Linked DNA regions of Ovis aries. The protein of the gene in region 2 interacts with the protein of the main gene of each other region in a biochemical or structural test. Links are inferred from orthologs where the notes say so. Each region holds a gene or a part of one and is shown on either strand. Other genes may lie near its edges. The genes, in order: PRMT6, HMGA1 and PRKCA.

The links.
Region 1: of the proteins of HMGA1 (region 2) and PRMT6, one has a biochemical effect on the other in vitro, tested with the Homo sapiens proteins (2 studies listed by BioGRID, with this or other methods). The link is inferred for Ovis aries from reciprocal best matches to the Homo sapiens genes HMGA1 and PRMT6.
Region 3: of the proteins of HMGA1 (region 2) and PRKCA, one has a biochemical effect on the other in vitro, tested with the Homo sapiens proteins (2 studies listed by BioGRID). The link is inferred for Ovis aries from reciprocal best matches to the Homo sapiens genes HMGA1 and PRKCA.

The regions. Positions count from the first base shown.
Region 1 is NC_056054.1:84,387,305-84,391,659, forward strand, and holds PRMT6 (protein arginine N-methyltransferase 6), read left to right. Parts: upstream 1-1,467; 5' UTR 1,468-1,490; coding exon 1,491-2,618; 3' UTR 2,619-3,767; downstream 3,768-4,355. UniProt on the Homo sapiens protein: Arginine methyltransferase that can catalyze the formation of both omega-N monomethylarginine (MMA) and asymmetrical dimethylarginine (aDMA), with a strong preference for the formation of aDMA.
Region 2 is NC_056073.1:8,467,101-8,470,377, reverse strand, and holds the end of HMGA1 (high mobility group protein HMG-I/HMG-Y), read right to left. Parts: intron 3,157-3,277; coding exon 3,106-3,156; intron 1,847-3,105; coding exon 1,793-1,846; 3' UTR 538-1,792; downstream 1-537. Other genes in the region: SMIM29 (small integral membrane protein 29), read left to right, coding at 1-24. UniProt on the Homo sapiens protein: HMG-I/Y bind preferentially to the minor groove of A+T rich regions in double-stranded DNA. It is suggested that these proteins could function in nucleosome phasing and in the 3'-end processing of mRNA transcripts.
Region 3 is NC_056064.1:61,844,182-61,848,281, reverse strand, and holds the start of PRKCA (protein kinase C alpha type), read right to left. Parts: upstream 2,840-4,100; 5' UTR 2,737-2,839; coding exon 2,564-2,736; intron 299-2,563; coding exon 267-298; intron 1-266. UniProt on the Homo sapiens protein: Calcium-activated, phospholipid- and diacylglycerol (DAG)-dependent serine/threonine-protein kinase that is involved in positive and negative regulation of cell proliferation, apoptosis, differentiation, migration and adhesion, tumorigenesis, cardiac hypertrophy, angiogenesis, platelet function and inflammation, by directly phosphorylating targets such as RAF1, BCL2, CSPG4, TNNT2/CTNT, or activating signaling cascade involving MAPK1/3 (ERK1/2) and RAP1GAP.

The DNA.
Region 1 (4,355 bases), on a different chromosome or scaffold from region 2:
TCATTCAATGACAGATTAATAGAGAATGGGCTGAAGGAACCTTCCCCCAGATAAGGAATACAGGCCCATTGTTAAAAAGAAACAGTTTGAGACTACAAGAAAATAAAAGTCAATTTTCTTCATGTTATTTTTTTTTAAGCTAGGAGAAAATTTTTTTCTCACCTTACTTGTGAAGAACACAGACATCCATATAGACATCACAAGTATTTTTAAATGCATTTATTTCTACTATGAACATCTCAGAGGGAAGAGGTTAACAGCTGATAGTTGACTAAAAGGAACACAGAAGAGGAAAAAAGGATTACCAATCTAGCCCAGACATGGAAACAGGCAGGAAAAAGTGAGTTGAAGCAGAGAAATGATCACAGGTGATGAAGGATTCCGTTACCTATGGAGGGAAAAAAATCAGCTACCAGAATACACCTAGCAACAGTTGCTTTTCAACTATTCCTCAGACTGGAAGTTTCCAAGATTTAAGCCTTGAATGAGTCACAGAATTACCGGGCAGAACTAAGAGCCAAATAACTAATCTCCTAAAATAGAGAACAGAAACTTAATTTTCAACTGCCTTGAAGATTCTTTGTTGCTGGAAGGTGCATGGGTAATTGAAGGCAAGAGTACTTACACAGCTTGCCCTAATCATTCCGTTCATTTGTGGTCCCACTGGAATCCAGACCAGGGTTTTACACTGTTGGGTTTTTACTTTGTTTCATTTACACTTTTGCATTCTGCTGCTAAGTCGCTTCAGTCGTGTCTGACTCTGTGCGACCCCATAGACAGTAGCCTACCAGGCTCCCCAGTCCCTGGGATTCTCCAGGCAAGAATACTGGAGTGGGTTGCCATTTCCTTCTCCAATGCATGAAAGTGAAAATTGAAAGTGAAGTCGCTCAGTTGTGTCCAACTCCTAGCGACCCCATGGACTGCAGCCTACCAGGCTTCTCCGTCCATGGGATTTTCCAGGCAAGGGTACTGGAGTGGGGTGACGCTGCCTTCTCCCTTTTGCATTCTACCTCCCCTGAAAACGGAGAAGAAAAACACGTAGTGCATTTTCCAAATCTCCACTTTTGGAGAGCTTTAAGAGTTGCAACTGTCCAGATGAGGCAGTAGGGTGTGCACGGTGCCGCCCAGAAAATTCTATATAATAAAAAATCTGGGAGTTGGACAAAACAAAACATGGATTTTCAGTTTTAAGTGGGCGTGTCCACGTCACGAAGGGCGTGAAAGCAAAAGAGACTGAACAATCTAAGGGAAGGAGAAGGAACGTAGAGAACCATGGAATGTGAGTGCAGGGGATGGAAAAGGGATTCCAAGACACCAAAGGAGCAAGAAAAAGAGCAGAGTACGGATCATTGGTATCTGGCTGACATTCGCCCGGCGACCTGCCAAAACCGGGAGGCACGAGCGCGCACTACAACTACCATAAGGCCCCGCTTCCTGGAGCCCGAGGCGCGGCGCGCAACGCACGCCGGGAGTCGGCCCAAGCCGCCAAGATGTCGCAGCCCAAGAGAAGAAAGCTTGAGTCGGGGGGCGGCGGCGAAGGAGGGGAGGGAACTGAAGAGGAAGATGGCGGAGAGTTGGAGGTGGCTGTGCCGCGACCCCGGAGGACTAGGCGGGAGCGGGACCAGCTGTACTACCAGTGCTACTCGGACGTATCGGTCCACGAGGAGATGATTGCCGACCGCGTCCGCACCGATGCCTACCGCCTGGGCATCCTGCGGAACTGGGCAGCGCTGAGAGGCAAGACCGTGCTGGACGTGGGCGCGGGCACCGGCATCCTCAGCATCTTCTGTGCCCAGGCAGGGGCCCGGCGCGTGTACGCGGTGGAGGCCAGCGACATCTGGCAACAGGCCCGGGAAGTGGTGCGGCTCAACGGGCTGGAGGACCGGGTGCACGTCCTGCCGGGACCGGTGGAGACGGTGGAGTTGCCGGAGCAGGTGGATGCCATCGTGAGCGAGTGGATGGGCTGCGGACTTCTGCACGAGTCCATGCTGAGCTCTGTGCTCCACGCGCGGACCAAGTGGCTGAAGGAGGGCGGTCTTCTCCTGCCGGCTTCCGCCGAGCTCTTCGTGGCGCCCATCAGCGACCAGATGCTGGAGTTGCGCCTAAGCTTCTGGAGCCAGATGAAGCAACTCTACGGCGTGGACATGAGCTGCCTGGAGAGCTTCGCCACGCGCTGCCTCATGGGCCACTCAGAAATCGTGGTGCAAGGCCTCTCCGGCGAGGATGTGCTGGCCCGGCCGCAGTGCTTTGCTCGGCTAGAGCTGGCCCGCGCCGGCCTGGAGCAGGAGCTGGAGGCCGGGGTGGGCGGTCGCTTCCGCTTCAGCTGCTACGGCTCGGCTCCCTTGCACGGCTTTGCCATCTGGTTCCAGGTGACCTTCCCCGGAGGGGACTCGGAGAAACCCGTGGTGCTCTCCACCTCGCCTTTTCACCCCGTCACGCACTGGAAGCAGGCGCTCCTCTACCTGAACGAGCCGGTGCAAGTGGAGCAAGACACGGATGTTTCCGGAGAGATCACGCTGCTGCCCTCCCAGGACCACCACCGTCACCTGCGGGTGCTGTTGCGCTACAAAGTGGGCGACCAGGAGGAAAAGACCAAAGACTTTGCCATGGAGGACTGAGCGTGGTCTTCTCTCCCAGCTACCTCCCAAGGAAGCCAGGCACGGAAGAGGCGGAGGGTTGGTCGGCGGAGTAAAGGAGATTTCACGTGCAAGTAGGGAGCGTTATCTTCCGTCTCCCTTTACCCCAGGGCTCCTGGGGAGGGAGAGTGACTTCAGTCTCGCTTCGTGGAGATTCTTCTGGCGATATTTATTAAAAAGTGTTTTCGATCCCCTGACACGACCGAAACAGCGTGTTTATTAAGGGCCCGTTAAACCTCAAAAGCACGTGGTACCAAGCACTCCTTTTTCTATTTCTTTTGTTTCTTGTAAATTAAAGGGGGAAAAGGGTATGAAATTATCAGTTTGTGAAGGTTCCATTCACTTCCCTGACACCTCACACCCTAAGTCTAAAGCCAGGGAAAGGGAAAAAGGGTTTATAGTTAGACTCCATGTATTTCCAATAAGACGGGATATCACTCCAGAGCCATATTCTCTCATTTTCTGAATTCCCTCTCTTCCCAGGTGCCTCTAGACTACAGTATTTTGTCCTCTTTTTTTAATAAGTTTTACTACTGATAACGTGGGGGAGGTGAATGAGGGTAAAGTTTAAATAACACCTACTTCCTTAAGATGCTAAAGTTGATGACACCTTACTCCATTAAGTGAAATAAACTTCATTCGTACTAGTACAGCATACCTAAGAAATCTAGAAGGGTACGTGTTGGAGAAAAAGACCTGAAATACAGTAAAGTCGTATGGACTTTTTGTCTTTACTGTTAAGATTTAACCAAGAAAATTTCATGTAAGTTCCATAGTAAAAATTTTGTGTGCTTTATAACAAACTAGTAGAGGCGATTTCTTCTGAACTTGGTCCAAGGGTTTATTTATCACCTTGGGTAAATTATTTAAGTAAGGAAAATATTTTCCCAGCTCGAGAATTAAAATCCCTCATTCAGGGGGATCATGTGATTTGGCCTACTAACATCAAGTGAAAATGTTTTTGTTAGTGTTTTGTTTGTTTTCTGTTTATTTAGGTCAGCTAAATGTGAAAGTTGTGAATTTAGGAAAATCATTTGTAATGTGAGTTATGTTATCAAATTTATTTTACCCATGTTTCCCTCCTCATCTCTGGCAAATAAAGCACTGGCATTCTCTATTTTTATAGATGAAGTAAGAAGTCTTGTGTACTGTTTGAGTTATAACTTTTGCCTTTTTAGTATTGTTCTTAAAAATGGTGTTATAACCCCTACAGAGCATAGCTTAAGGATAATCAACTATGCTTAATGTATGGTTTCTTTACACTAGTAGCTTTAGTATGCTAATAGAAAGCAGGTGTGAAAATCTGATCTGAAGCAGCTCTGTTGCAACAGTTTTTTCTTCTTTATTCATCACTTATTAATATACTTAAATATAACTAATTTGCTAAAATTTGGTATCAACACATGAGATCTGCCATTAGTAAGGGAACTATACATGTACAAAATCATCAGCTTTACAAGATCCTTGACTTGCAATACATTTATAGTTGTCACCACTGTTGGTATTAGGATAGTTAGCTTATGCAAATGGTACAGTCATAGCAATTTAGGCCTGGTTTAAACTAGAGTTACAAATTGGTTCCTTATGTTAAAGTCAACTATATTTTATGTTGAACATTTATTAGCATTTTAGTGTACAGTTTTGAGTGAATTCCACTGTTTATTTTAACTTCGTACCACAATCTGTTTGTTGTATGAGTACTTGAAAGCATTCTTCCAA
Region 2 (3,277 bases):
CCCTTGCTGGATGTCAAGACATGACCTGAGCCCCCTGATCCACCCCTCTCCAAACCACGGGGTCTTGATTGCCCAGGGCCCCACAGCCTGCTGCTCCCCCAGCACCCTTCCCTCCAGCCCGGCTCCTAAGCCCTGCAGAGCCACCAGCCTCCACTGGACCCACCTCCTCGGCTTTCAGTCCTTTGTGGGATGAGCCTACCTACCAGTCACTCCCAGGAACTAATGAGAATGTTTCTTCCTGGGGTGAAAGGGTGGCTGGGATTACCAGGTAGGGCTTTGCCCTTCCACGGGCACCTTTCTCTAGCCCTCCCAGACATAGCTTTGGAGCTGTTCCCATGGTGACAGGGCCTAATGTATATTCAGTATATATATTTTGTAAATAAAATGTTTTGTGGCTAGGGGTATAGGTGATTTCTTCAAAAGGGGCTTACCTTCCCTGTAGTCAACTCCAGTGCCTTTTCTTTTTCACTCAACTCACTAGAGATCCCTGGTTTCTAACATTCCCTATTCTAGGCACCCACCACAGAAAAGACTCAGTCCAGAAAAGGATATTTTTTTATTCAAGTAACTGCAAATAGGAAACCAGAGGGGAGCCCCAGGCTGGGACAAATAATGGCTACCTCCTCCCTGACAGAGCAGGTGGAGAAGGTGGCCCCTACACCTGACAGTCAACACGGGCCCCCTCCCCGCCCGCCCTCACTCTGCTGCAGCATCCTAGGGGCAGGACCCCACCTTCCCTGGGACTCGGGGAGTTGGTACCCAGCCTGCTTTGCTCCAGACCCCTTCCCCTAAGAGCTTCTTGGAGGAGGGGGACGTGGGCAGAACAGGAGGCGATGAGGATGGACATTTGGCGCTGGTAGCAGCAGCAACGACGGATGTCTAAGAATGAAACATTTAACAAAAAACAACACAACTGTCCAGAGGTAGTTTGTGAACAGAGGAAAGATGGAACCAGAACCTTGGGGGTTGGGGAGGAGCAGAAGGGTGGGAGTGGGCGAGACTAGCTCCTTGTTATTAGTGCCCCGAGGGAAGGGAGGAGGGGAACTGAGGCCTGGAGCGGAAGCAGACAGGGGTGGGGAGTGGCTCCAGCTCAAGAGGCTGCTGCAGGGAGCCCAGGCCTCCTGGGCCTCACCTGGATAAAGGGGACTCTCTCCATCATTGCAATGGGATTCCAGGGTGAGGGCAAGGTGGGCTAGAGCCTGCCTAGAGCTGGGAGGGGGCTTACATTCCTACCTTCCTTCCTGAGCCCCCAAGAGGGTGGCCCCACCTAGTGTGGGAACAAGGCAAGGCGGGAAGGAGAGGGGGTGGTGGGGGGCATCTCGGGGCAGTCACCCCTCTCCAGTGGCGGCACCTGCTGCCGCTAGTACAGTGAAGTGGGGCGTGTCCAAATGAGAATGAGATGGGGCTTGCGCCCCTCTTAAGGCCAGGGGAGCCCTCCCAGGCCCCTTATCGGGAAGCCAGAGGGGAGAGGCAGAGGGGATCCCCAAACCGAGAGCCCAGCCAGCAAGGCCCCCACCACGCAGGGAGCAGGGATGCGGCAGCGCAGGAGTGGCTAAGTGGAAGTCAGCTTTGTTGGGGAGGGCGGCTGGGTGAAGGGTCGCTGGGACCTGAAATCAAAGGGAGTGGCTCCTCACTCGGGCCCGGGGACCCTGTGGCAGCTGGTCTGCAGTGTAGTGTGGCGGGGAGGGCGCAGGTAGAGGGTGGGGGGGGGCCTGGGGGCAGGGGGGCAGGAGCAGAGCGGAGCTGTCCAGTCCCAGAAGGAAACTGCTCCTCGGGAGGGAGCAGGCGGCGGTCACTGCTCCTCCTCTGAGGACTCCTGCGAGATGCCCTCCTCTTCCTCCTTCTCCTGCAGGGTAGGCAGGGCCATCAAGAGAATGCCAGGCCCGCTCCCTCCTCCGCTGCCGCCCCCAGAGGCCAAGCTCACCACCCCCCCACGCCCGGCCTCTCCAGAAGGGGGATGAGTCAGGGCTGAGTGTGTGGGTGACTCAGCAACCTCCACGGCCCAGTTTCATTCATAAAAAAGGAAGAATTTAAAGGGAGGGAAAAAAAAAAAACCACACACGCTGGTCTCACACACAGCCAGGCCCCTCAGCCCCCAGGGGCAGGGGGCTCCTGGCAGAGCACAGGGCAACCCTGGGCTCAAGTTGGCAAGGAAGTGACTGGTCCTGGGGTGGGAGACAGCAGCCAGGGAGAGAAGGGGAGGGCAGGGGTGGCTGGAGGCTGTGAGCCCCCTCCACTGAGGGTGCCAGGTGGCCTCAGCGGCCCGCAGGGGCAGCTGCTAGGCGGTGGAGTGGCCACGGCCGCAGGCTGACCCCAGGCCAGGGCGGGGAGCGAGGGGAAGTGTGTGCCGGCCGGGGCTCACTCACTGGGCGGGAATGTCGGGACACCACACAGGGCCCCCGTGCCAGGCACAAACTCCAAAACAACCCGTTTCCTGTTACTCACTCTTGGGGCCCTGCCAGCACCCCAAGCCCCCCTCAGCCGGTGGTGGCTCAGCTCACACAGCTCGAGGAACAAGCCACAAGGAGGACAGGTTGCAGGGGCCCAGCCTGCAGATATCTGGGCGCAGCCCACCAGCCACCACTCCCAGCTGCCTGGGGGCCCAGATGGGGGTGGGGCCCCTCAGCTCCCACCCAGCAGGCTATGACCCAGCCCCGTTCTGGAGCTGAGCTCCTCTACTGCTGCTGCTTAAACCCCTTCTTCTTCATTACTACAATGGGGGAGTGGGGCGGGGTGGGGAGATGCTACCATATGACCTCAAGGTCCACCCTATAAGTTCTGACTCTGAACCAGAAGCAGGGGAAGGAAAAGATAAGAACCACCCCCAGTAAGGCAGGGCAGGGAGTCTAGCCTGGTTTGTACCCGGGACCCTACACTTCTCACGGACACAGCTCTTCAGAAGCCCTAGGCTGAGTGCCAGGAGTCCGGGGGCCCTGGACAAACCCTTTCCCTCCCTAGGCCTGGGTGAAAACGTGAAGTCCCACCATTGCTGGCCCTGCAGGTCAGGGAGAGCCATCTCCCTCTGTGGGCGCACAGGATGGAGCATCACTCACTCTTCAACAGTCTCCCCAGAAGAACCAAGCTGCCTCTGCCCCAGTCACCTACCAGTTTTTTGGGTCTGCCCCTTGGTTTTCTCCCTGGAGTTGTGGTGGTTTTCTAGATGGTCAGAAAAAAGATCCACTAAGTCAAAAATGTCCCCGATGGTGCCCACCCAATGACCAGTGCCCCAGATGGTGAGGGACAGCAGGGAGGGGCGGCCCAGGACTCCCACCCCAGC
Region 3 (4,100 bases), on a different chromosome or scaffold from region 2:
AGAACGTTCTCGGCAAAAAAAAAAAAAAAAAAAAGTTACAGGAAGGTTTTATTCCCCTGAAGAAAAAGGCAGGTCTATACGCAGAGTACCAGAAAATACCAAATGGTGTTCTTCCCCCAGGCCCAAGTTTACAGCCCTCACATTTTGAAAACATCTAAATGTGTTTTTGCTTTTTTATCAAATAAAAGATGACTGGAAACACTGTTCTTGTCTGGAATGCTTACTTCTTGTTGTACTTGAAAATAAAATCCAACATGGCAGCTTACCTTGGCACTGGAAGCCTTGTTTCCCAAACCCCCTGAAAAACAAACAAGAAAAATTTCTTATTTTCTGTTGACACCACATCTTAAGCCAGTTATATGACAAAGCATTCTACAAAGGTAAAGATTTGCACATGAAACCCAATGATTTGACAGGAAAACATGCCTAAACAGCTCAGAGTGTAGTCAAGTCAACTTTGAAAAGATCTGGCCTCCAAAGTCTCACTGAACTCATTTCAACATATTCAAGGTTCTTGCCAGGCTTTTGTTTTTGTTTTTTCTAACATTTTATCAGTACTTAATTTAAGAACATGACTATAAAGTTGTTGGCTACAATATTCAAGCAACAAGAAGAAGTTTATGGTTAAAAAACCAAATCCACAAAGATGGCTGAATTTGGTCCCTAAAGACCAACTGAAAATCTTTTCACCCCAAAAACAAACAAGTGGCTTCCTCATTTGTTATGAAGTATTATCTACCTAGAGATCACCACATAGCATCACTCTTAACACTAAATTTTGGCTTAAAGGAGCCAGATTTTACAGTGTCATCCCTATCGTTTGCATGTGAGATGATGATCTTATTTTACTGTGAACCAACAGCATTCAAGCACATTCAGAAGCTATATTGCTCTTGTAAATTACTTTAGAGAATTTACTCTCTAAGCAGAGAACTCCGACATGGACATTAAATTGCAAACACCATTTCAACTAGGATGAACTACATTAAAATTCTCAGAAGGTTATGAGTCATAATCTCTTGCTTTACATAGCATTTTAAATTTACAAAGCACTTCACATATCTTTATAATTAACTTAGTCACTCCCCACCCCCCCAAAAAATTTAAATGCAAACAGTTTTAAAATACCAGTGCTTTAATATTTGAGTTGTAAACCAGGGAAGCAGAGAAGAGAAGAAAATTGAAAAATTAAAACCACGGCTAGACCGTGCTGGGGAGTATTTTCCTGGAACTTCCGAGGGGTTGCTCTGCAGCCAAGTGGAGAAGAGTATTGACTATGGGGAAGAAGAGGACAAGGTCTTCATTTCCACTTCGTGCTATGCCTGGTGGCCACATCAGTTCACAGGGGCCAACAAATGGCAGCGGGAAGTCTTCAGCAAGCCTGGATGTATAGATTGCAAGCCTCTTTCCTACCTCACCCTCGTCCTGCAAAAGTAATCGGCAGTCTGTTCTGTTTTAATGGAATTTCACAGCTGACACGTGAGGCCGAAGACCTTCCCTTAACTAAATACAATCTCTCTGCCTTGAGGCTCCAAGAACTGACCTTAAGCAGTCTTGTCTACATTGGCCTAGGAGCTCAACCGCTTCAGGCGCTGACTATACCTCGGAAATAATTCGGAGAGGTGGCTGTGCTTTTTACCTAAGTGTGCTTTGGAGCGGATTTCTAAAAAGAAGCGAAGACGTTAAGCACCTTATGAGCACATCTGTGGGGCTTTCCCTTAAAGATTCCCCCAGGTGTGACGGGTTCAGATAGAGCTTAAGGGAGAAGTTAAGTACCTATTAATTAGCACGTTTGCGGGACTCGCCCTTGGAGACGGTTTCCCCGTGTGATGCATTCAAGCAGCGTTCGTTCTCCCAAGAGCCCCGCAAGATCCAGGAGCCACACAGCGGCTGGGCAGTTAGCTGCCCGGCGCCGCTCCCCCCGGCGGAGGGGACTGAAGCAGGCCCAGCCGGCTCCGACTTGGGGGGCCGGGGGCTTCCTGCACACAGCAGCAAGTGACAGAATGCGTGGAGGTTGTCTGGCAACGTAAGAGGAAAAAAGCGAGTGCTTCTCCGAGTGAGGCATCTGAACTGCCCTAGTTTAGCTTTCTTAAAACAACGGGAGGAGAGGGGTCACAACCTTTCGAAAGTCAGTCAAAGTCATCAGCGTCTCCCCAGGAAACAAGCACACGCGCGATCCCCTCCGGCTTGGCGGGATCGGAGGCCCTGCAGCCTGTCCGGCAGCCGCGGCGCGGAAAGCGCGGCCCGGGGGCCCCCGCTGCCTGCAAGTTACCTGGGCTCGGCGGCCGCAGCCCGCCGGCAGCCCCGGGCAGGCCCGGGTCCGCTGCAGAGGCCGCCCGCGCGCCCGCCCCGCCGGCCGGCCGGCCGCCGCCCTCCCCGCGCCCGCCTCAACAGTTTGCCGCCGCTCCCCCCGGCTCGCGGGCCCGGCGCGGGGCGAGGCCGGCGCGCGCGGCGGGGCCCGGGCAGCCTCGGGGGCCGCGCTCCGAGCCTCCGGCCCGGGGAGGCGGCGGCGCCGCGCGGGGCCCCGCCGGGCGCGGGCGCTGCAGGGCCGGCGCGCACCCACCAGATGAAGTCGGTGCAGTGGCTGCAGAAGGTGGGCTGCTTGAAGAAGCGCGCGATGAAGCGGTGGTTCTTCACCTCGTGCACGTTCTTCTGCCTCAGCGCCCCTTTGCGCGCGAAGCGGTTGGCCACGTCCTGCGGCGCCGCCGGCTCGGCGGCCGGGAAGACGTCAGCCATGGTCCCTCGCCGCCTCCGGCCGCGGGGGGCGCGGGCGGCCGGGAGCCGGGCGGGCGCGGAGCGGAGCGGAGCCGCGAGCTCGCTGGGGCCGCTCGGCTCTGACGGCGGCGCCGGCGCTCGCGCTTCCTAGTCGGGCGGCGGGGGCGGCCCGCCCACCGCGCATGCCCGAGCGCGGCCCGGCGGGCGGGGCGGGGGCGCGCGGGAGGGCCGGCGCGGGCGCGCGCAGGGGGCGGGGACGCACGGGAGGGCGGGGGCGCGCGCGGGAGGGCCGGCGCGGGCGCGCGCAGGGGGCGGGGACGCACGGGAGGGCGGGGGCGCGCGCGGAGGGAGCCGGCGGCCCCGCGGCCCCCGAGCCGCCCGGGAAGCGCCCTCTCCCGTTCCCCCGGGTTTGCCGGGCTCCTCCCTCCCGCGCTCCGCTCCTCCCGCCCCAGGCGCAGCCCCGCGTCCCGGGCCGGCCCCCGGCCGCGCCCCCTTCCAGGACCCAGCGCCGTCCCGGGACCGACGCCCGCGCCGCTCGGAGGCTCAGCCCCTCGGGGCCGGCACGCTGTGCCGCCTGCGGCCCCGGAGCCGGGCGGCCCCGCGCCGGGTACACGCGTCTGATGTCTCGGGACGGCTGGAGGACCTGTCCTGGCTGTTCACCCCGTTACCCGTTGGGTACCACGCTTACAGCGTGGGTGATCAGGTCTTCTTGACTTTACCAGCCCAGAGCCTCCATTTAGACACGGTTTTGCAGCCTAAGGCTGATGACCACCGGCAGGTGCCGAGCGCAGCCAGTTCGTTTGCAAACTGCCGAGTGAAACTGCCCCGTGAAAGCGTGGCTGGCACGGCCCGGCGAAGCACGCGCGTGGGGCCGGACCGACTAGTCACTTGCTGAATACTCGTTAGCTCTGCCCCGAGGATGCTAAAATACATGAGGGAAACGTTTCATTATTGTTTTATTTCGTTGTCAGATTCGCTCAGATCAGAAATTAACGCATGTATGGAAAGGAATATGTGGAATTCTTCAAGAAGATAGGAAAAGAACTAGAGATGGAAGGAAGGAAGAAACCTTTCCTAAGATCTATGCTGTCTTATGGTACACAGGCCAAGTAGGGTTCCATTTCTTTTAAGATTGCTCAGTTGAACGCCTGTTGGTAGGAATGTCTTTTGTTTTGACAGGGGTAAGCGATTGACCCGCCCTTAAAGGGCGTGTACTTCCAGCGCTCACTCACAATGTTTCCGACCAATGTTCTTGGAGCTTAAGAACATTGCACCTGCCGGCTAGTCTGGTCAGAAACTTCTCCACTTTTGGCGGGGCCCGAGTGGAAGGGGGCGGGGCTTCCCGGGTGGGACTAGTGGTCAAGAACTCCTGCCAGTGCAGGAGA